Drosophila melanogaster: one gene and its partners. The protein of the gene in region 3 interacts with the protein of the main gene of each other region in a biochemical or structural test. Each region holds a gene or a part of one and is shown on either strand. Other genes may lie near its edges. The genes, in order: Orc2, Cdc6 and Orc4.

Region 1 (7,705 bases), on a different chromosome or scaffold from region 3:
CGTGTTAAGAAAAGGACAAGCAAATATCGAAAGCGCATTACTTTGGTACGTAACCCGGAACAACATTGTGGTCACATGCTCCCTGACTTGATGTCAAGCTAAGGATTTTTTCAAATTCCTTGGCCGCCTTTTCGTCCTTGAAGTAGGCGGCGGTGATGTAGCCAGTTTGCGGCAATCCGTCAGCGTTCATAAGGATTAGGTTGACCTTGTCGCCTAAAGGAGCTAGATTCTTGGGCAAAGCGTCGAAAAGGAAGCGTTTAATGGGCAGAACGTGGGAAGCTGACTTTGTACTTGTCACGTCGGCAGGAAAAGGCGACTCCGGTGGAGAGGGCGGCAGTGGAGGCAGATCCAGCAGAAGTAGAGACTGTGGAGACACCTTCTGCTGTTTGTGAGTTACAACAGGCAATTGACTCGGAGTAGAAGCAGCCTTCGGTGGTGCAACTTCTGCTTTTTCCTGTACCGGTGTAAATATAAGAGGCAACATTTGGGTCGTCAAGGAGCGCGAATCGCCGGAGCTGAACAGCAGGTCCACGGTCGATGTAGTTGCATCTACCATGTTCAATTTTAGCAGTTCTTTTTGGGCGCAGAGCTTGTGCAGCATTTGAATGGCCGCATTGTTAACTGGCACAGCTGCATCCGGAATATTGCAGACATTCTGCAACTGTACACGCATCAGACATACGGGCAAATTCTCCAGGAAGCGACAGGAGCTGCGTATTTCCGCCAACTCCACCTTTTGGGTGGCACCAGTATCAACGTTCATTACTTCGAACAATCCACTATCCTTACTCAATATCTGTAAAATTCGAAAAGTTCATAGACTTTACTGATTGAAACCCTGCAACATAAATATCGACAAACCTCGCCCCGGAAGTGACCCATCTGCTTGGAGACAACGAGCACGATGCTGCCAACGGAAACATCACTAGATTTGGTAATGGTAGCGCACTTGTACTCCAGGCGCTTGAAAATTTCCGCATACTGCTTGGCGTCTGGAGTGCTGATGTATACCTCCTTAAAGCTGACCAAGTGGGAAATGAATACGATGGAATCATGGACGATGGGTTCACGCCAGTACTTGTGGCCTAAATATGAAATCTGACCCAAGAAAGTGATCAGACGGGCCATACATATCTGCTCGCCCTTGGAATTCAAGGCGGCATTCGCCGCGCGTAACTTTTCCTTGGGCGGCTTATTATCCAGCTTAAACTTGACCGTGAGTTCTGCACCTTGAGTCTCAAGCTCCTCGGGTACGGAGTCCTCCAGCTGAGCGGCAAACACTCGACTGGGCAGGCCAAGTAGTTCGCTGGGAATACGACTCAGATCGGTGGCTATGGACACTCTACCCTCGTCCATTTCGTAAACCAAATAGGTTGGCCTCGGTTTCATGATATGATCCAATAGGAAAGCTCGCCGATAACCATTTTTAGTGCGGGTGGCCGCAAAGAAGATGGATTTCTGCTCGGGGAAGGGCAGCGTGAATGGCTGTCTTGGCTTCTCGGCTATGCGGTTGTTTAAGTCTGCGTTGACATGGCCCATCACGTTGATCTGGAGTAGGGCCAGCTGCGGTTCGTTATGCTTTGGATTTGCCTTAAAGACCCGGATGACTTTGACTTCTGGATTAAGCTGCAGCATCTCCAAGGGCAAACTTAGTGGTATTATCATCTTGGGCTTTAGATGGACGTGATAAGCTCCGTCGCTGGTTTTGGTTCCCAACATACGGAGCGTCAAGTTCTTAATGTCCTGAACTCCAGTGTTCGTGGGCAATTGAACACGGAAAGCGAACGCCTTGCTTTCGGCCATCTTGGGCACAATGGTGTAGATATCCCGAAACGGTGTAGCTACTATCTGACCGTGGTCAATCATACGGACATTGGCTTCTTGCTTCTTTTGGCAAACCGTCAAAACATGACCGCGATGGACCTTGTCGCCCACACTGATGGCCACGAGGGTGTCCTCCCGCACTCCTTCCATACGAATCATCTTCTTATTCTGCATGCAGCGCTGCATGTTGACCGTCATTCGCTCAATGGCCTCCACATTCGCCACGTGCACCACCCAAATGGGTCCATCGTTCTCCATGAAAGTCACGCGGCACTTGAAAAACTCCATGCCCGACGGCAGCAAATGTTTGCGCCAGTTTTCCGATAGATCCGGCTTGTTCGGCACAGCAACTGTGGGCTCCACACATGGGATTGGCGATTTAGTGCGAGTTTTAGCCAGAGCAACTTGGTTCTCTACGCTCTGGATTGGATTCAACGCCGGTTGAAGAGGCCGGCACTCCACCAAGGGTCTGGAAACGCATTTGTATTGTATAAGAATTAAAAACCCCTAACTTAATGCACTGCTGCGCAACGGATTTACTAATTTAACTCACGGCATAATGATGCACACCTGCCTGTGCCTCTGCCAATCCAATTTCTGGCACTTTTCATTGCAGTACGGTTCTCCACACCGCTGGCACATCAATCTGGTCGGAGTGCCACAGACGACGCATGTCTTTTCCTCCGACTTTTCCATTTCTTCAATTCAAAGTAACAACGCAAGAACGTGTGAATGAAAGAACGGCGCGTTAAAGGAAACGCAGCAAAATGGCGCTAACAGAACTTTTAGCACGCGATGAAATACAAAGTGAAAATCTATTTACGCTGGACGAGAACTTTCTATGTTTTCGTTTTGAAAAAGGTGGAATCCTTTAGAATTTAAGTGCGCGATTCACAACTCACAAACATGCGATACGTTCACTAAACGCGTTTAAATTCGAAGCTCGCTGGGCACGCGCTTCAGTGCATTGAACGAACGTGGGAAGAAAGAGAACAGGACGATATCGATATCGGTTGGTTTTCGATTTACAGCGCACTGATGGAAGTAAACTTGATCGTTAATTAAAAAAGGAAAAATAAGGCTTACGAAGTTTTTAAACTTTAATTAAAACGACACAACATATGCTAAATATTCTACATATTCCAGTTACAATCAATTTCGCCAAGCCATTTTCATGGAAGTTGAATACTCTTTGAACCTGTTTGAATATATCTGAAAACGCAAATCTACTTTGTGTTATTATTTTGCCAATATAGGCAATATTATTTGAAAATTAACCGCAAGTCCATTGACGACCGCAATTCAGAATAAGAACGTAGCGTAATTTTCCCATCTTCAAATATTGTTTTTCCTAAACTTACCGATTTTAACACTTTTTAGTTTTAAAAACGTTTGTGGTTAATCCGCAAGGAATTTGTGACAGTGAAAAAATAACCGCTTTGTACGCGCACGTGTTGCCAACAAACACTTCAGCTTTTGTCAGTGACTGGATTCTAATTTAAATTTATCGATAACGTATGCAATTCTTATTCGAACAATATAGTTATTTCTAAAAACTGTGTCACGGAATTTCTTTTTGTAATTATTACCTATATAAATATATATTTATACAAATATTTATAACATTTGTGTTTTAATTGTCATGCCCCTTTAGTTTTTTTTACGCTAGAAACTTAGCTACTTCCTAGGTCGAGAGCTGGCCACACTCTTGGCATGTCTTAGTTATCGATAATTCCCGCCACTTCTGAGCATTGAGTATATTTTGCGAACTATTTGTTTACCAATTGAATATTTTGATAATCAGGGCCCCCAGTGAAGTGGCAAGCGTCATGAGTGCCAGCAACAAAGGCGGTTACAAGACGCCGCGGAAGGAGAACCTCATGTCCATTGAGAACCTCACCAATTCGGAGGAGGAATCCGAGGACTTGAACACGGCAATGGTTGGGAATGCAGTGGAATCTCAGCCCAAGGTCACCAGTCGGCGTTCCACCCGACGTCCAAGTCCCACCAAGAAATACCAGGCGTACCAGAAGGAAAGCAATGGAAAAGGCCAGGAAGAGCGAATTGTTGTGAACTATGTGGAAATGTCCGATGAACGGAGCAGCGATGCGGAGGATCAGGAAGAAGAAGAAAGCATCGAGGAGTCGGAAAATGCTGCCCGTCCCGCTGCCAAGGATCTGCATCTCATCCAATCCGAGTACAATGTGGCCGGCACCAGCATGTTTGGCTTCAATACGCCCAAGAAACGCGATGCCATGGCACTGGCCGCCCTAAATGCCACGCCCTGCACGCCCAAGACCCCAAAAACGCCGCGTTTGGGTGTCAAGACGCCGGATACGAAGCGCAAGAAGTCCATGGATCAGCCAAAGACTCCCGCCCATGTGCGCACCCGCGTCAAGAAGCGTGGGTAGCCTTTTTCTGCGTCCTTTTACCATTTTTTCCATTATTTATAAATTCATTATCACTTTCAGAGATTGCCAAAATAGTGGCCGACTCAGATGAGGATTTTTCTGGAGATGAAAGCGATTTCCGGCCCAGTGACGAGGAATCCTCCTCCAGCAGCAGTAGCAGCGATGCTGGCAACTCCTCTGACAACGACGCCGCCGATGATGAGCCCAAAACGCCCAGTAGAGCCCGCCGTGCCATTGTAGTCCCCGTTCTGCCGAAAACTCCATCGGCAGCCCGCCTGCGACAATCGGCGAGGGCGAAAAAATCGAATGAGTTTGTGCCCGAGAGCGATGGTTACTTTCACTCGCATGCCAGCAGCAAGATCCTCACTTCGGATCACACCTTGGATCGCCTAAAGAATCCTCGCCTGGCCGCCGATCGTGTTTTCAGTTTGCTGTCGGAAATCAAGACATCGGCGGAGCATGAGGGTTCTATTAATGCCATTATGGAGGAGTATCGATCGTACTTTCCCAAGTGGATGTGTATTCTGAACGAAGGCTTCAATATACTTCTATATGGATTGGGCTCCAAGCACCAGCTGCTGCAGTCATTCCATCGGGAAGTTTTGCATAAGCAAACGGTATTGGTGGTGAATGGCTTCTTTCCCAGTCTGACCATCAAGGATATGCTGGATAGCATCACAAGCGACATATTAGATGCGGGCATTAGTCCGGCTAATCCACATGAAGCAGTGGATATGATCGAGGAGGAGTTCGCACTGATACCGGAAACACATTTGTTCTTAATCGTCCATAATCTGGATGGAGCCATGCTTCGCAATGTGAAGGCACAGGCGATTCTTTCGCGCCTGGCGCGCATACCGAACATTCATCTACTGGCCTCCATTGATCACATAAATACCCCACTGTGTGAGTGCACCGATGCTTTGAGATCTTTATAGTGCGACAGCAAAACTAATTATTGTTTACGAATTTGCAGTGTGGGACCAGGGAAAGCTGTGCAGCTTCAACTTCTCGTGGTGGGACTGCACAACAATGCTGCCATATACGAACGAAACTGCGTTCGAGAACTCGCTGCTGGTGCAGAATTCCGGCGAATTGGCCCTCTCCTCGATGCGCAGTGTCTTCTCATCGCTAACGACCAATTCGCGTGGCATTTACATGCTGATTGTTAAGTATCAATTGAAGAACAAGGGCAATGCCACATACCAGGGCATGCCGTTCAGGGATCTCTATTCGAGTTGTCGCGAAGCATTTTTGGTCAGCTCAGATCTGGCACTGCGTGCCCAGCTCACCGAGTTCCTCGACCACAAGCTGGTCAAATCGAAACGGAGCGTTGATGGCTCCGAACAGCTAACCATTCCCATTGATGGCGCACTGCTGCAGCAGTTTCTCGAGGAGCAGGAGAAGAAATAGGCCATCGGCGTAATTTTAGAACATATTAATTTATTATCTAATATTGTTAAATACAATTACAATTTCGCTTTTTAAAAATGTTGTGTTGCTGTCACTTGTATTGCCCATGATGAGTGCGCAGTGTTTGTTTTCGCTCTTTTTTATTTTTTTGTCAATTTCTACACATTAAGATTGGCATGCATAAAATTTGTCGCTTTGCTCGAAGATACACATTCTAGGATGGCTAGTTTTTTTCCTCAGCTCCAGTTGCGAGCATATAGCAACACAAAACTTCACAAAGCACTGCAAGTGCTCGACGACTGCGGGGATGAGAGCGCATTTGGATACGATTTTAAGGATCAGAAGAGGCGAACTAAACATAGCTAAGCATGCCAAAAATGATAAGACTCACTACCGCCTGACCATTCCGTGCTCCTCATCCATTCCAAAGGCTAATATCGGTTACCTATTCACTATACAGACACGCACATACACAGATTAAAGCGTTGGACTTGTAACTAGTTAATTGTGCACTCGAAACGAAATGTAATTGCTGCGACTAAGGCTAGTTTATTTACACTTTCTTGATAGCAAATCACATGCGAAGTCAATCGGAAGTACACATACAATGGGGAATCGTTCATGGCTGGCTCCTATTAATATTATTTTGAGTTTATTGCAAAATTCTACCCCTTCCTGAATACCTGAATTGTACACACCGAGTTTGCGATCAGCATTTTTGCATATAAAAATGTCTTATCTCCTGCGCCGCACATTTACTTTTTCTTTAATAGTTAGATAATTGTTATCACGTTTACTTTGCTCGTCCTTTTTTTTAAGCTTCGTTTGTGGGAATGAATGGCAGAATGTGGTTCTGAATCAATCAGAAGAGAAACCACCCAAGAGAATCTCCCCTTTTACAAAATGAATCGATGCAAGAGTGTTGTTGGTTTTTCACTTTTATCGGCTTATTATACACAAATTGCTACTGCTTGCGTTTATTTCGACAATGCTTTGTTTGTTTGTTTTTATAGTTTTGTACAACAAATTAATTACATTTTGCGCTTAACAAAGAGAAACAGGCGTCTGATATTGAAATTTAGATACTTTTAGATACTTAAGAAAAGACGAGGGGAATCGAAAAACAAAAGTTCAGGCATGAATTCAGCGATGAAAAGTAAATTAAAGTTTAGAACTCGGGTAAACAATAAATTTTTACATTCTCCTCAATTTCATGGGGGAGTTCTTCGATTTTGGTGGGTGGTGGGTGCAATTAAACCTTGAATCTGAAAATTTTTTCCGAGTTTACATATACACAATATATAAATCAACTTCATTATCATATCCGTATCATTACTCATTTACTCGTTACTCATTAGTCATACTCATCGAATATACATCACAATCAAAGTGTACGCTTTGTAATTATACGCAGTAATCGGTAATTATAATAGTAATAATAGTAATCATAATAATAATAATAATAATAGTTACGCTTTCTCAGTGAATTTCTTTATTTCTGCTTGTATTTATGCCTTCGATTTTTACTTTTAGTTTTTACTTTACTTTAAATTTAATTTATTTTACTTTCCGTTTTGTTTTTTATGCTCTTTTTTTGTTTGCATTATTTTTTAGGTTTTTTTGTTTTTGTTGTTGTTGTTTCTTCTTTAATTGCTGCTTTTGTTTCAAGTTGTGTTTTGACTTAAGATTAAAATTAATTCATAATTATTACTCGTAAACATATTAATCATAAGGTAATATTAAATCAACAAATAAAATACATTTAAAATCAAGTTTATCAAAGTGAATTAAATTACTTGAAATCGAAACAATAAACGGTACGGCTCGCTATGCTTTTGCTCCTGCATTTGCATTATCTGTCTGCGTTTAACATAATCTATTGCGTTTGTAGTATTGCCGCCGTATGCATTCTTGAGGTTCTCCGCCAATCGATCCATCAGATATCTCACATGGCGGCCACTGCATCGACTGGAGTTCTGCTTTCTGTTGCGATTGTTGAATCGATTGTTGGTTGTAGTAGTTTGGGTTACTTGTTGTTGTTCTGGTTGTTCTTGCTG
Region 2 (8,246 bases), on a different chromosome or scaffold from region 3:
ATTTACGAACTGGGATCGGTATCTTTGGAACTGTCAGAATTGGTTGACAAATCTGCGATTTGGAAATGCTAAGTGACAGTGCAATTTGGCAATTTGGCGAAAGCAAACTGAGCAAATCAATAATTTAACAGCAGATTTGCGAAATATTTTTATATTCACATTTATGTTGCTGCAGTGGGGCGAAACAATAACCTCGAGTGCGATAAATATTTGTGCCTAATTTTCGAAATACGAAAAAAGTGCTATGTGAAATTGCTCCACAAAAGCAGCAATTAAAACATATACGCGAGATTTGTTATATGTGAATAATGTGAATAATTCTCGACTGAGGCGGCAGGACAAACAACAACATCCGTTTGGTAAGGGGAGGAAATGGGGGCGGTGTTTAAGGTGGCGCGTGGGCGGGAACCGAGGAAAAAAAAAACAAAAATATAGATCACACCAAGTCCAAGTTTATACGATGGTGTATTGTTGTTGCCCGCGTTTACGCTCGGTGAACAGGCTATTTGCACAAAAACATATTTTGTATATTTAGGAAAATCTGCTCTCTCTCTCGAATATATAGGATTTTCTAGTGGATTGGTATGAGTGCGTGGGTCGAACGAACGGCCTCTGACCGTCAGCACTCGGTTTTCTATATGGTGGCTCACACAGACAGACAGGCAGATAGACACTCTCCAACCAATACCGAGTTGGCTATATAGACAAATTGGAATTCCGCGCAGTCGGAATAGCAATAATTCGCCAGCATTTGAAAATTTTCGAATCAGTTGCGTTCGGAATATTGAAAAATAAACAACAATAAGACTCGAGCTCGAGCATCCTTTTTGTAGTGAATCCTAGTGTAAAGATCTCCGATCTCACCAGCTGCAGCGTTGATTTAAACGTGACGAAGAAGCAAGTTGCCAATAATATATTACAAAATTCAAAAAAAAAAAAAAATTTACCAAACAAAAATTAAAAACACTGCGTGATCTTCCATTACGTAATTGCATCTGGCTATAATATCTTTCGTTTCTATTTTGTTCGAATTGAAGGAGTTTAAATTCAAACACAAAACACACACATTGCAAAAATGGAGTACGTTCAGTTCAAAAACGGATCCCCAGTCTACTACAAGGAGCAGCCAGACCTCAATGAGTGCATTCAATACCAAGTAAGCGAGCCAGTGAACAATTAACTCGAATTAAGCCACATATAGAAAAATATTTAAAGAGAAGCCTGAGGAACGCGAAAAGTGTGTTTTGATATATGCACATAATCTTAAATGAAGATTTAACTATTGGTTTTATAAAGGATACTGGTTTAACCCCATTAGAGATAGAAAGTAAAGCAAATCATGCTGATATTTAATTAATTTTGAATTACTTTTAAATATTTCAAATTTCTAAGAACGTGGCCCAATCCAGATGAAACATTTCACCTTTACCGTCAACCGTTTGATCTTGGAATTCAAGTTCAAATGCAAATGGCAGCGCCAACAGACCTGTATGTTTTTCGAGGTTTTTCGCCTTACTGCTCCCTCAGAAATATATGTATTTTTGAGGAATAGGAATATAGAACGCCATATACCTATAGATACATTCATGCATATATCTAGCTGGCCTCTCTGCATATAGCTTATTATTCAAACATTTGTTCGCCTTTCGTCAATACGCGTCGAAAGGCAACCAGAGTTTTTGAAACATATTTTTCATTGCGCTCTGGTTGTGTCGGTGGTGCTCAATGTAATTCATACCACTCAAATGGGGATATTTTTAGAGCAGAGAGCGCAGGAAGAACAACAATAAGCCAGCAAATAAATAAACAAAATGATTATAGAACAAATTAATTTCATGTCGAGATGGCCAACAAAAGCCCACACAAATTCAGAAGCACTGGTGTTAATTTGACTGGTATGTTCTGAAAACGCCTCAGAAAACAATGGCAACAGACTTTCCCTAAGATTTTCACAACTTTTGGCACGACCCAAGATTCAAACTTGCGGCGCAGCGAAAGTGGAAAACGTTTTCACTTTTGCGTTTTATGTATTGCGGAACTATCTAGTTTATTCTTATTTGCTTAGGGCTAACAGGAAGGGGATTCTCTATAACTTATTGGTCAACGGATCGGATTAGAAATAGATTATGGGCGCAACATTTACTTAGATTTATGACACACACAAAGTCTAAAAGAATCGATTCAATTAATAGTCAGAAAATAGCAGAAAATGTCGAAAGTGACCGTCAAATGATATTTCAAAATATTTCAGTGCTTGCGCCAGCCACGAATTTTAAAATTAGCGTCAAAAAGTATTCCTATACATATACGTTCGTCCCCAAGGTGAATGAAAATGAGAAAAATGCGCAATTAACCAGCGGTTTGTCGGGCACACTCATTTCCTAGAGGTAATCGTCCAGATCGTCACTTGCTCAGGCAGGCGGTATCGCTGAGGATCGAGGCGATCAGCTGCTTGTCGCTCAGTGCCGCATGCACCTCCTCCTCGTCCCACTGCAGCAGAACCTTGTGCAGGCGCGGCTCCTTTTTGCGCATGATTCGCAGAATGCCTCGGGTCTCGACCAGATCCACAGTCCCAGTGAACTCCGCTTGGTCCAGGGCCAGGATGTTGCGTTTGGCGCACACTCTCCTGTAGACCTCGTGCAGGCGACCCATACTGATGTCTTTGTTGCGCTCGTTGCGCAGCATCAGCACCAGGGTGCACAGCATTAGCTTTTGCTGCAGCGGAAATGATGCCTCGATGTCCTCCTCCAGATTCTGTGAGGCACCGTAGACCTTGTTCAGCACTGCAGCCACTTGGGTGACCTGAACAGGCTTTAGAGTGTCTGAAATAGTCAAGATAGGATTTCTTTTTAACACATTCTATAAATTTATCTTTATATACTAAAGAAACGAAGGTTTACCTTGCTTTTCCTTGGCCTCCACCGCATCCTTGCCCTCCAGCTGCAGGGCCTTCATATTGAACTCCTTTTCGCCATCGCGCTTCTGCTGCTCTGCTATCTCGACCACTCGTCGTCCAATGTCCAGGGCCCTTCGCACATCTCCACTGATCGCACTCACCTTGGCGGCCAGCAGCTGCAGGGTCACGGGTGGAAAGACGTCCAGCACTTCCGCCTCAGCCAGACGCGACTTGAATATCTCCACGATCTGCTGCTTGGAGTAGGGCGGGAAGTGCATCAGTCTGGGCTTCAGCTCGCACCTTGCATTCAGTCGCATCAGCGCACGATCTGTGAGATCCAAACTATTGGCAATGCCCACGAGCAGTATCCTGGAGCCGGGAAGAGCTGGCCACTCGAAGATCGTGTACAACACCTCCTGCCTGCTGGTGCAGAGCTGATCAATCTCGTCCAGCACCAGCAGAAGCATTCGCTTTGCTGTCTTTAGGTGACGCTGAATGGCCTCCAAGTGATCTCTCTCTGTGCGACCGCTGACTTTGAGCTGCAGTTCGGTGCATAGTTTCTTGTAAACTGCTCCTACACTTGCTATGCTGGTGCAGTTAATGTACACACGTTGCAGACGCTTGGAGAAGTCGGGATCTCTCAGCAGTAGCGATAGGCAGGCGGTCTTGCCTGTTCCTGGCTGACCGGAGACATAGAGGCTGCCGGAAGTCTGGCTTTCCAGGTGATTGCTGAAGAATTCACGTAGCTCTTGGAGCTGGGACTCACGTCCTGGCAAGTTTTGTGTCTCGGCGCTGTTGAGCACTCGTCTGGCGTTTTGGTATTTGTTGCGTGAGGGAGATGGCAGGTTATTCTGTTGGGTTTCCTCATTGGTTTGGATATTGCTTTTTTCTTTAGTTTGGTTTTTATTCGGCTGCTTTGTTGGAGGTTTCTCCTGCTGCTTTTGCGCTAATGGATCCTCCTGCTGTTTTGGCCGAGGCTTTGCCTCGTCCTTGGCTTGATGTTTCGGCTGCTGCTCAGCCGTTTCAGTCTTGTGTGTGGTCGCCTCCACCTCTTCCTCCTGGCGCTCGTCGATGCTGAGTCTGTCCAGCAGCCGCGAAGGACTGATCAGGTGCTGTGGCAGTGGCTGCAACTTCCTCTGCTTCGGCGGCGATCCATGAAGCGGGTCCACCTCCGAATCCTGTTCGCCCTCCAAGAATCTAGCGGTGGCCTCACGGTTTTCCTCCTCACGTTTGGCCCGTGAACTGCCAGCTGATTGGACTGTTTTCTTTGTGCTGCGTGGCGTCTTTGGCAGCTCCGATTGAGCCACCTGCACTTGCGATGTCCTGCGCCTGGAGATCTTGTCCATTTTGTTGAGCACGTTGCGGTTCTCGTTGTTCTCTGAAACGGGGCTGGTCAGGTCATAGATCGCCGTCACCACCTCCTCCTCCTCGTCGCTATCGGCAAGCACTTTTTTCGGCTGCCTGCGTTTCCAAACTTCCGAGCGACGCGGCGTCTGCGTCGACGGCGGCAGCGGAGAGGCGGCGGTCGCTTTGCTGATGCTACTAAGGCGCGTGGAGCGGCGTACGGCAGCCATTCTTTAGCTTAGTTTATTGATCAGCAGTTAGTTACTATTAAATACGAGTTAAATAAGCCACAGCGTGCGTTACAATTTTCAGCTGGCAGTCACAGTTAAAAAAGCGCGCAAATTGAGTTTGCCATTCGCCACGAGCAACAGCTGATCAAGCCTGGTCTGGTCATCTGGCAGCTCTAGCCCAGAGCTGCCTATTGTCGATCGCCTATCGATTAGGCGCGCATAGTTACAACATTTCAAACAGCAGTCCGCCTATATTGAATTACTTACATACTCGCGTGTGGACGGCCTGGTAAAAATAAAATGGTCCGCGGCAGATAGAAAACACAAATCGCTGGACGTTGAACACGCTTACGTAAGCGCCTAAAAATATTTCCCCTGGCTATGGGATATTTTTAAAGTATATAAACGGGCGCACATAAAATGGAATTTAGATATAGCGAAAAAAATTATGCACACACACGCTCGAAGGAGAAATACGTAGCACAGTGGGCAAAGATCTGGTGATTTCTAGAAACTCTTTTAATCTCTGTCTGATTTATTTATATTATCATTTGCCGCAACGGCTGGTCGGCCAAATGTGTGCCCCATTTCGGCGTAAACAAAGTCGTTAATCTTCACCGATCCGCTTTCCAGCCCTACCGTACAACTCCGCTGGTCCTGCCCGGCGCCAAAGTGAAGAAGGATGCGCCCACGACAGAGTCCTACTTGAGGCACTACCCCAACCCGGCTGTGCGCGCCCACCCAGGACACGACTACCATGACAGTATCATGAAGCAGCGCGTGGCCGACACCATGCTGCACAAGGTGGTCGGTTCGGAAGCCGACACTGGCCGCGTAAGTACAGGGGACTTCTTAAAGTCACACCCACATAATGGAAAATTACAAAAACTAGAGTTTTCTACATTTAAAATTGATATTTTCAATGTTAACATTTCGAATTCGTGACCTGTAGTCTTTGTTCTAATCCTGTTACGAAATTGATTGTATTTAATTTAAGTGTAAGTTGTAATGGGTTTTACTTACATTTGTGTACATATATCCCCCGATTTTAGGTCTTCCACAAGCAATTCAACTCGCCCATTGGCCTGTACTCCAACAACAACATCGAGGACACCATCAGATCCACAGTTCCGTAAGTTGTCACCCAGAAATGTACCATCTGGAAACTCCTATGCTTAGCTCGATACAATGAAAAAAAAAAAACACTAATATATGAACTTTTGGAATTCGCTTGTCAAATTGAACTTATAAGCCTATGAATTACGCTACATATTCTTTGGATTTTGCAATTTACGAATAAACCTGCGTAGAGTTCTTCGAAATTTTTGATGCAGCTTTTCTTTTTGCCAGAGAGACAGAGAGAGCCACTCGAAATGCGCCAAGTAGCTTGAAAACTAATAAAACGAGTCACGAACACACGGTTACGAGTAGCCTAAGGTCCACATAACCCGAAAAATTGGTTCCTGGTTAAGCTGCGGCCATAATCCACTAACCCAAAAGCCACAAAATCAAAGTCGAAACGAAATTTACTAAACCGATGCACACACGAAATGAGAAACACACACAATTCGAACATACGATTGAACACGAAAACCAGTCCATAGATGTTGTACGTACTACTTACTACTGCCTACTGCCGGATCTCTGTTTTACATGCATTTATATACATTTACATATATAAATATACCACTCTCTATATATCCTATATATATTCTATGTATATTGTTGTAGCTTCGCCACAAGCGAAAGCAATCGCTTGAAGGACAGTCCTTTGCATCGTCCTTTGCCAACAAAACTTAACGGGTAAAAGTAAATTCATATCTTGAGCACAGCCTGATTTCGTTCTTTGATTGAATCCTTTCACTTTCACTTTCACTTTGATATGGAAAGCACAATGAGCAAGAACGTGGAATTGTACCTGAACTTGCCTTGAGACAAATTAAATTGAATATGAGGAATGTTTGCCAAGTTTCCCGTGTTTTCCCCTGCCTGTCTGTACAGACTAACCCTCGATTATTGTTGTCTCCCGCAACCTGAACAACTGAACTATATATGTAGTTTCTAAGAACCAGATACAATATCTATGTCAGAACAACAGAAACAACACGACACGAGTCCAAAAACCCGAATGCATGTGCTCTGCTGTCTACGAATATGTGTGTTCCTTTTTTTTCTTCTTCCTAAAAACGTCCTATTGCAAAGAAAAGCTCAAATGATCTGAGTCTGCGCTTAGGAAATCATGCTATGTAAATATGTGTATTTCTGGAAATGATCTTCACCGAAACCCCCAGCGAACGTTGTTTGTCTTGAGGCTTTTCAGTTTTGGTTTTTAGGACATATGTAAGTTTAAGGTATGGCAAAAGTGGCGTAGGTGCATCGGTAAGAGTTTTCAGTGGGTAGATCAGGTGCTGTTTCCATAGATTAACCAAGTTCAACAAATAAACGAACCCTAGACCACTCTACCACTCTAGCTCTTAGTTTCTGATATGCTTAGAACATAGCTGCACGATTAATGTTAGAATTTTCATCGATCTATCTTTCCTGGAACAAAAACGTATTATTCTGGAGCAACAAAAGCAAAAAGACCAACTGGCAGAGCAACAACGTCAACAACGCCAGCATCAACTGCAAATACTCTATCAACAAAACAAATGATCAATCAAATAGTAGCCAAAAACTGAACCCACTTCTAATAGACTATGAGCCAAATACCCTTTCCCAAGACCCCTGCTAAAAGTCCTTCCCGTCCACACTTCTTTCCGACCCACCACCCCAAAAGACTAATCCGAAACTAAAAGACGTTTGCTGAATTATATTTACGAACTGTTTGAAAGACAGCACTGAAAGTTCCTATTCTTGATCCCCATCGCTATCGCAACCCATCCAGTATTAACCGAACGAGACTAACTAACCACCCTAATCCCGCCCGATCTCAAGGCTTCGACTCATCCGATGATATACATACATGATAATCTCAATATAATCTCGCACCTTGTTATGCAGTTCTGTTTGATTACTCTTAATAATAATAATAACTAGATTGTAAGGAATTTGTTTATGAGTTTCCTATTAATCGCAATCCGTTTGAGGAGTGTGCAGTTCCAAGACAACAAAGCACACCTATTGCCCAACAACAACAGCAACAACCAACAACAACTACAACAAAAACAAAATAATTCTAACGTATTTTGTGCACATCCTGTTTTCTCTTTCTATTCTCTCACTACTCTGTCTCACGCTACTCAACCGATGTAAAAAAAAATCAAAAACAAAAAAACCAACATATTTTTTATAAATCTCGATTAACCAACAACAATAAAACAAATTAAAATAAATAAATCTTTTAAAACTTGCGTAACACCAAAACAAAAAATCCAACGAATAATTGACCAAAATAACGGCGCTTTCAACGATCTCAATGCAAACCCCCGAATTACTGAAACTTAATCTCAATCGGAACCCGAATCACTGACCACTGCCAACGAGCAGCTATAAGAAAACTGTCCAGTACGATCCCAGGAACAGCGAAACCTACAGAGCCATTCAAGAAGAGGGCGGCTACAGCAACTATGGCCAATCCTCGCCACAGGAAGTGACCATTCCTGTGCAGACTAAGGTCTATCAGCCCAATAGATTGGTTCCAGGAAAGGTAAGATCGTGCGCAACCGTTCGAAAATCAAGCAAATCTCTCAATCAACTCGAATCAGTCGAACTCAGTTAAAACTTTATGTGAAGGCATCCGACAATATCGCTCGATTCTCAAGCTCATCCTGTAC
Region 3 (7,078 bases):
CGATTGAACCACCACCCACTCTGTGAATGCTGTCATGTGTCTAATGAGTCGCTGGCCCAGTTCGCAAGTTGGCCCAAAGTTAGCGTCCTTTGTGTAATTTGCACACTTGCATGGGCATTTGCATTTCCTATTTTCCCCATTTCACAGTTCACATTTCCACTTGCCACTTTCGCATTTCCATCTACCACGCACTCCGATAGACGGATGGGCTCGCCGGAAACTTTGAGGGTAATTTGCATATGGAACTTTTAAATCATACTGCTCGAAGTTGGCCCACGACACCTGGGCTTACGTCTGCAATCGCAGGAGGAGCAGCTGCGTCGATGGACACATTTATCAAGGAACTCGCAGTGCGGCGTGCCCCGAAATAACTATATTTTCGCAAACAGTATCCCAGATTATATTTCACAATTGTAAATTTATCAATCAGTTATCAGGCGAAGTGACTGTCCTAAACGAAATCCTTAAGATTCGCATGGTATCTATAATTAATTCACTGAGCATAATATTTCCCAGTTTATGGGCGCCATAAAGCAGTTTCCGAGATCCCGAACAAGCGAGGCAAGTCATCTCATGGAGTGGACAGACGCGATCACTTAATTACCTGTGTGAACTTTTCAACTGCGCCCCAGTAGGAGAAGGTACAGTGAGCACTCGCTACGGCGGCGAGGCGGGCGGGGCAAGCAGTTGCAGGTGGGACTGACGTTTTCACCTTGTTAATTATGCGCACGGTCATGCTAAAATCGCGTAATGAGTGACGGCCATTGAGAGTTGCATTGTCAGCAGAGAATGATAGTTTAATCGTGAGGGGTTCTGGCGAGGATTGGGGAGCAGAGCGGGCCGGCTGGTCACAGGGTGTCCTAGCACATGTACAGCTTGGAGGGCTTCATTCGGCCGTACTCCCCGTTCTCGGTGACCGCAACTTTGAGGCCCGTAATGCCGTCTTGCTCCAGCATCTTCAGATCCTCCAAACCTTCCGCAACCTCCTGGGCGGTAACCACGAACTTCTTTGCCAGGCGCCTGCGGTTGGCGTACTTGAGGAAGTGGCCGTCGCCGTACCGCTGGCGACTCGTCAGATAGATCTGGTCAATCCGCTGATAATGGCAGCACTGCATCTTAGGGTACCACGCGAAGGTCTCCTGCCAGTGCCTCGTCGTCCTTTCCATGGCATGACTGAAGGCGAGCTGGTAGCGCAGCTGCTCCGTGGTCACTATGTCCGCCGGCATCTTGTCAGGGGTGTGGGGTTGTGTTTACTTTACTTCGTGTCCTTCTGGTTGTGGAGTGGATTGATATATGTGTCCGAAATGTGTGAAGTTTGTGGCTGGCCCACCTGATTGGCAGCTGAGTTGCCAGTCCCGAGTGCCAATCCCGTTTTCTGTGTGCTCCCTAATCGCATTAGCAGCCACTTGACAGACGACAGGTGCAGTGCATCCAGGTCACTGCCAGCCACCTGTGCAGAAACTCTGCACATAATTGTTAACGCTTACGAACTGGCCTAGTCTGAAACCTATGTACATGTTTAAGTTAACTTTCGTCACTACACTATATTTATTTTCGTAAATCTCAGTAATGTGACAAATACATCACATACAGACCCACTTAGACTTACTATATTTACTATATTGGTCCTGCTGACCCCCATCCAATACTAAAACGGCATAACACCTTACCAATATTTCTGCTTACGGGTTGAAGAGCCTGGATATTACTGGATTTGACTGTTTAGCTCTTGGTAAAGTATAGGATGACATCGGTGCGCGGAATGCCCGCGACCATCCATGTGCTGTTCATCATGTATCTGCCATCGGGGATGATCGACTGGACCAGCTTGTTCAGATGCTGCACGGGAAGCTTGTCGAGCACGATGTCGTGCTGTGGGTGGGTGGGTGAGAAAGGCGAAGGTTATGCGGCATGAACATGGCAACGCTCACTCACGTCGTAGGGGCAGGTGTGGTTCAGGTTCGAGTAGGGGCCGAAGGTCTGGTAGACCCAGTTGGCGATCACGTGCTTGCGGTCGCGCATGAACTTGCAGGAGTCCACCTTGAAATCAAAGTTGTACAGGACTCGCCTGTTCTCGCGCATCCTCAGCTGGAATCTGGTCTGGAAGATGGTCGGGTGGTGTGAGACCGACACAGTTCTATACTCTTACCTCGCAGTTGTCGACGGGCAGGCGGAACATCTTTGTTTTTAGCGAAAGGTACTTGTAGGTGCGGTTCACGGACTTCAAGTAACAGTACTCAAAGTCCATAAACATCCTGTCGCGCACGAGGCAGACTACATTATTGAATTCGAAGTGTCCTCGGATCTTTGGATATCAATTATTCTATAGTGCCATCTATTAGCCATACGCATTCGATTCTTACTGCCATCGGAGACATAAAAATCAGCAGAAAAGTCCACAATCCGCTCATTCCTAAAGAGGTCTGGATCACAATAACCACAATACCGAGTGCCAAAAGCTGAAGCATTCCAAAAGTTATTAATTGTGATTACTCGATCCATTGCTGTTATGAAATTGCCAGCCGATATTAAATAATCTCTGAGAATCCATTGAGTGTTTAATAACTTATTTTAATGGACATTTAAAATACACAGCATTCCAAATAAACCTATTCCAGCAAATTGACCCTCAAAATGCCAACGACTATGCGATTAATAAAGAAATTTGTTCATATTTTTAAAGATGTTTATATGTATAATTGATTGTTATTTATAGAGTTACTATTGTACATATTCCTCAATCGTAGGTCCATTTTGTATGAACTAAAATGTTGATATTTCAAAATGTGCTAAAGCCGCAGAAATTAGATCGTATTGGTTTGTGGCACGAATATATTTTTCAGGCGGCTTAAGGCAACACTGAGTAGTATCAGAGTTCCAAACCACCGTACATTAAATGAACCAATATCGGTTTTGTTCCATCCCCAATGCATTGTTGACGTTTTTTGGCGCGACTTAATTACTGGCAGAAATCCAAACTATCTGTGCGTCCATTTAACTAATAAATAAGGAGGAATAAAGGAGTTCCGATCCGAGAGCGAAAATGCCGGAGGCGGATAGGGAGCTGGTCAGCATCAGGCGCTTCCTGAAGGAGCGCCTCCAGCGAGACTACACCACCTTGAGGGGCTACGCAAAGGAGCGGTCCAATGTGCGCCTATTGCTGCAACGCACAGCTGAAATGGGGGAATCCAACTCCTTGCTGCTCCTTGGGCCGCGGGGATCCGGAAAGACAACGGTATGAGTGCAGGCCTTACCGGGAAACCAATCCAGTAATCTATGCTTTCAAATTCTTTAGCTCATCAACTCCGTGCTGGCCGATTTGCTGCCCAATAAATCGTTCGGGGAAAACACTCTCATCGTCCACCTGGACGGTAATCTGCACACGGACGACCGAGTGGCCCTGAAGTCCATCACTGTGCAGATGCAGCTGGAGAACGCTGCGGATGGGAAAGTGTTCGGATCGTTCGCCGAGAACCTCGCCTTCCTGCTGCAATGCCTCAAGGCGGGTGGCAAGCATTCCAAGAGCGTGATCTTTATTCTCGAGGAGTTCGACCTCTTCTGTGCTCACCACAACCAGACCCTGCTCTACAACCTCTTCGACGTCTCCCAGTCAGCCCAGGCGCCCATCTGTGTACTTGGCGTTACCTGTCGCCTCGACGTGATCGAGCTGCTGGAGAAGCGGGTCAAGTCGCGTTTCTCGCACCGGCAGGTCTTTCTCTTTCCCAGCTTGCGGCGCTTTGAGGATTACGTTGACCTGTGCAGGGATCTACTGTCCCTCCCGACCGGCAATTCACTGTTGCTGGCGGCGGAGAAAATCTATAACCTACAAAACATCCAGTCGGGGGCACTTTACTTCTCCCGCAACCATTTTGACCCCGGGGAGTACGGCTTTTCGCCCAGACTACGCGATGCCTGGAACAAGCAAATATGCAAAGTCCTGGCCACTCAGCAGGCAAGAAGCACCCTCCAAGCGCTCCATGACTTCGACATTAGCGAGGCCTATCTCAAGAACTTCCTATTCCGCCTGGTGGCACATCTCCGACCGCAATCTCCCCACATCACAGCCGAAAAAATGGCTGCAGTGGGATCACAGTTTGAGGGCGACGACAAGATAGAGCTGCTTTGCGGGCTCTCAGTCCTAGAGCTGTGCCTGATCATCGCCATCAAGCACCATTCGCAGATTTACGATCGCGATTCCTTCAACTTCGAGATCATTTACGCGCGCTTTTCCAAGTTTGCCAAAGTGTCCACCACAATGCAGGCCGTGGAGCGGTCCATTGTCCTGAAGGCCTTCGAGCATTTACGCATCGCAGAGCTGATCATGCCGCTCACCGGTGGAGCTGGAGGGGGCGTAGGTAAGGTGCAGAAAGAGTTTGAGATGCATAAGCTGGCGCTGACATACAGCCAGATTCACCACTGTATGCAGCGATACCAGGCCCTTCCCACAGAGGTTGCTCAGTGGGCGCAAAGCTCTCTGATTTAGCAGCAGATCAGAAATACTTTGTATATTTATTTATTTAAAAAAAATTGTACCGAATCATTTAGTTGGTAAAGCCCTGTTTTGGGAAAATAAACTAATTTTAATTTATAAAACGTATATAAGAGAAAAGACAAGCATTTACATACGCAAGTGGTATGTACTATAAAATTTAGTTCTTATACAAATGTAAGTAATGTAATGTGTATGTATGCACTTAATTATGGCCAGGCATTTAGGTCAGGTTAGTTCAGTTTTATCTGCTTTGCACTTTCCGATCGATAATGCTAATTCCTGGAGTCACCCGCATTTCTATTCCACGCAAGATGCGGGTGGATCTCGCTATATAAAGGCCACCAATTGTGGAGCAGGAGTCAGGTGAAGCTTCAGTCGCATCAGCATGAGAATCATAACAGTCCTGTCTGTTTCGCTCTTGGTGGGTCTTGTGGCCATAAGCCAGGCAGACGACAGTAGTCCAGGATTCTTCCTAAAGATCACCAAGAACGTACCGCGGCTGGGCAAGCGAGGCGAGAACTTTGCCATAAAGAACCTAAAGACCATTCCTCGCATAGGACGCAGTGAGCACGTAAGTTATACCCATGGGCTTTCTTAAAGGATATTTTTAAACCATGAACTGTTTTCAGAGCTCTGTTACTCCTCTGCTGGCGTGGCTATGGGATTTGGAAACGAGTCCAAGCAAGCGGCGCTTACCCGCAGGGGAATCCCCAGCGAAGGAGCAGGAACTTAACGTGGTGCAGCCCGTCAACTCGAATACGCTCCTTGAGCTGCTTGACAACAACGCTATTCCCAGCGAGCAGGTGAAGTTCGTCCACTGGAAGGATTTCGATCGTGCCCTCCAGGCAGATGCCGATCTGTACAGCAAGGTTATCCAGCTGGGACGCCGTCCGGACCAGCACCTCAAGCAGACTCTCAGCTTTGGCAGCTTCGTTCCCATCTTCGGCGACGAGCAGAATCCGGACTTTATGATGTACAAAAACAACGAGGATCAGGAACTTTACGGCGGGGGAAATCGCTACGATCGCCAATTCCTCAAGTACAACATCCTGTGAGATGTGGAGTATTCGATTTGAATACGGACAAAGGAATATGACATTATAGAAATACATGTAACTTACCAACACTGCTAGCTAGTGTGTTTCAAATATATCCGGAACCTTGAAAATGGTCCAAGAAAAAATTTAAATATCTTTTCAGTTGAATAATCCCAGAAAACAAATGCCTCTTTTGGTAAGTCCAAAAAACACCTCTAAAAACGATAGTAAACATAATAAATTTCGGCCATATGGAAATGACTCATCCTCTATCGCACGATGGTCTGAATATAACGTAAGTCTTCTCCAAGTCTTCATTAGAATGCTTTCCCATAAGTACGTAAATACAAAACCAAATGGAAAGAGAAAATCGAAATCCGGATTGCAGTTGCTTGGATCAGAGCCTTTCTTTATCGCATTCCCGGATGGAATCGAATGGAATCAGCACATTAACGGTGCTTCTTTGACCAGGTCCACTCCACTGCAATCCGCACCTCAATCTGGCGAGTCAACAACCCAGCTGTCTTCTTTTGGCGGGGATTTGGGGATGTGGGGTGGCTGACTCAACGCAGCGAGCTCGGGCTTATCAAATTTATGGGGTCCGTGATGTTAGGAAATTCCAGCGATCGCATTCTTCTGCTCCCTTTTACCGACTTCTACCTTTTAATTGAATTAAACGATCTGCCCGCGAATTGAATTCCCAAACAGGATGATGGCGCCGTCGCATTCTGGAATTTGATATGTTTATTTTGCTTAATTAGCGGGCTGCTGTTAAGTATGCTGACCAGAATTCGCCACAATCCAGTAATCCCGCGGCTCATCAACAACTTCAATTACAAGCCCGGCTTGATCGGACTCAGACGCGATGACGACGCAAACTTGACTTTGAAATTTTTGCAATGCCTCACTGATGTTCGACTCGGTGCTGGTTGTTATTGTTTTTGGTCTTTTTGATTGTTTACTTTGGTTTTTAATTTCTATTTTCAGTGCAAGCGTAGAACAAGTTTGATAGTGGCTCCAGGGGCTTAGGAAGACAAATGTAAGGGGGGACTGGGAGTCGTGCTTAAGCCTTTTGCCCAAGCGCGACTGAAATATTTTGCTGTCGTGTATAATCGGCTCGAAGGACTCTCAGATACAATCTGTATGAGAATCTATAGTCTATGAAACTACACTACCTAACACAGAATATTTAAACATTCCCACACATTGAGGTTCCAATTCCCCGATGGCATCGACGTGCGCCTCTGTTTTTTTCGGGGGGCTCCCGATCCCCCACCCGCTGCCGCTCTCCCTCTCGCTTTCGCTCACTGCCGCTTTCGCTCTGCCGTGCGATGGCGCTCTCTGCGCTCTCCCAAAGCCGATCTCAGAGCTTAAATACGTGTGGAGCGCCAGCGCTGTCCGAAGACGACTCACTGACATCGCCGCGATCGGTTGTTCGACATAGTACTGCAAGATTATAGTGCTCGCTCCGTTTCCGTTTCGCTTGGAATTCGCCGTTTTCGTGATCGACTGGTGGGCGCCCCTCTCCCTAGACCGACTGACTCCCCCA

Evidence for each region.
Region 1: the proteins of Orc4 (region 3) and Orc2 form a complex in vitro, tested with the Drosophila melanogaster proteins (3 studies listed by BioGRID, with this or other methods).
Region 2: the proteins of Orc4 (region 3) and Cdc6 form a complex in vitro, tested with the Drosophila melanogaster proteins (one study listed by BioGRID).

What each region holds. Positions count from the first base shown.
Region 1 is NT_033777.3:13,961,355-13,969,059, forward strand, and holds Orc2 (origin recognition complex subunit 2), read left to right. Parts: upstream 1-3,530; 5' UTR 3,531-3,579; intron 3,580-3,637; 5' UTR 3,638-3,653; coding exon 3,654-4,227; intron 4,228-4,295; coding exon 4,296-5,141; intron 5,142-5,211; coding exon 5,212-5,648; 3' UTR 5,649-5,721; downstream 5,722-7,705. Other genes in the region: Kots (kotsubu), read right to left, coding at 42-796, 862-2,293, 2,378-2,520. UniProt on the Drosophila melanogaster protein: Component of the origin recognition complex (ORC) that binds origins of replication. DNA-binding is ATP-dependent, however specific DNA sequences that define origins of replication have not been identified so far.
Region 2 is NT_037436.4:8,629,480-8,637,725, forward strand, and holds Cdc6 (cell division cycle 6), read right to left. Parts: upstream 4,591-8,246; 5' UTR 4,471-4,590; coding exon 2,901-4,470; intron 2,823-2,900; coding exon 2,404-2,822; 3' UTR 2,030-2,403; downstream 1-2,029. Other genes in the region: Zasp66 (Z band alternatively spliced PDZ-motif protein 66), read left to right, coding at 5,104-5,304, 5,523-5,602, 6,202-6,273, 7,960-8,119.
Region 3 is NT_033778.4:24,793,258-24,800,335, reverse strand, and holds Orc4 (origin recognition complex subunit 4), read left to right. Parts: upstream 1-2,921; 5' UTR 2,922-3,043; coding exon 3,044-3,235; intron 3,236-3,295; coding exon 3,296-4,483; 3' UTR 4,484-4,596; downstream 4,597-7,078. Other genes in the region: CG3611 (uncharacterized protein), read right to left, coding at 861-1,226; CG12849 (uncharacterized protein), read right to left, coding at 1,723-1,872, 1,936-2,100, 2,150-2,305, 2,364-2,411; ETH (ecdysis triggering hormone), read left to right, coding at 4,878-5,063, 5,122-5,547.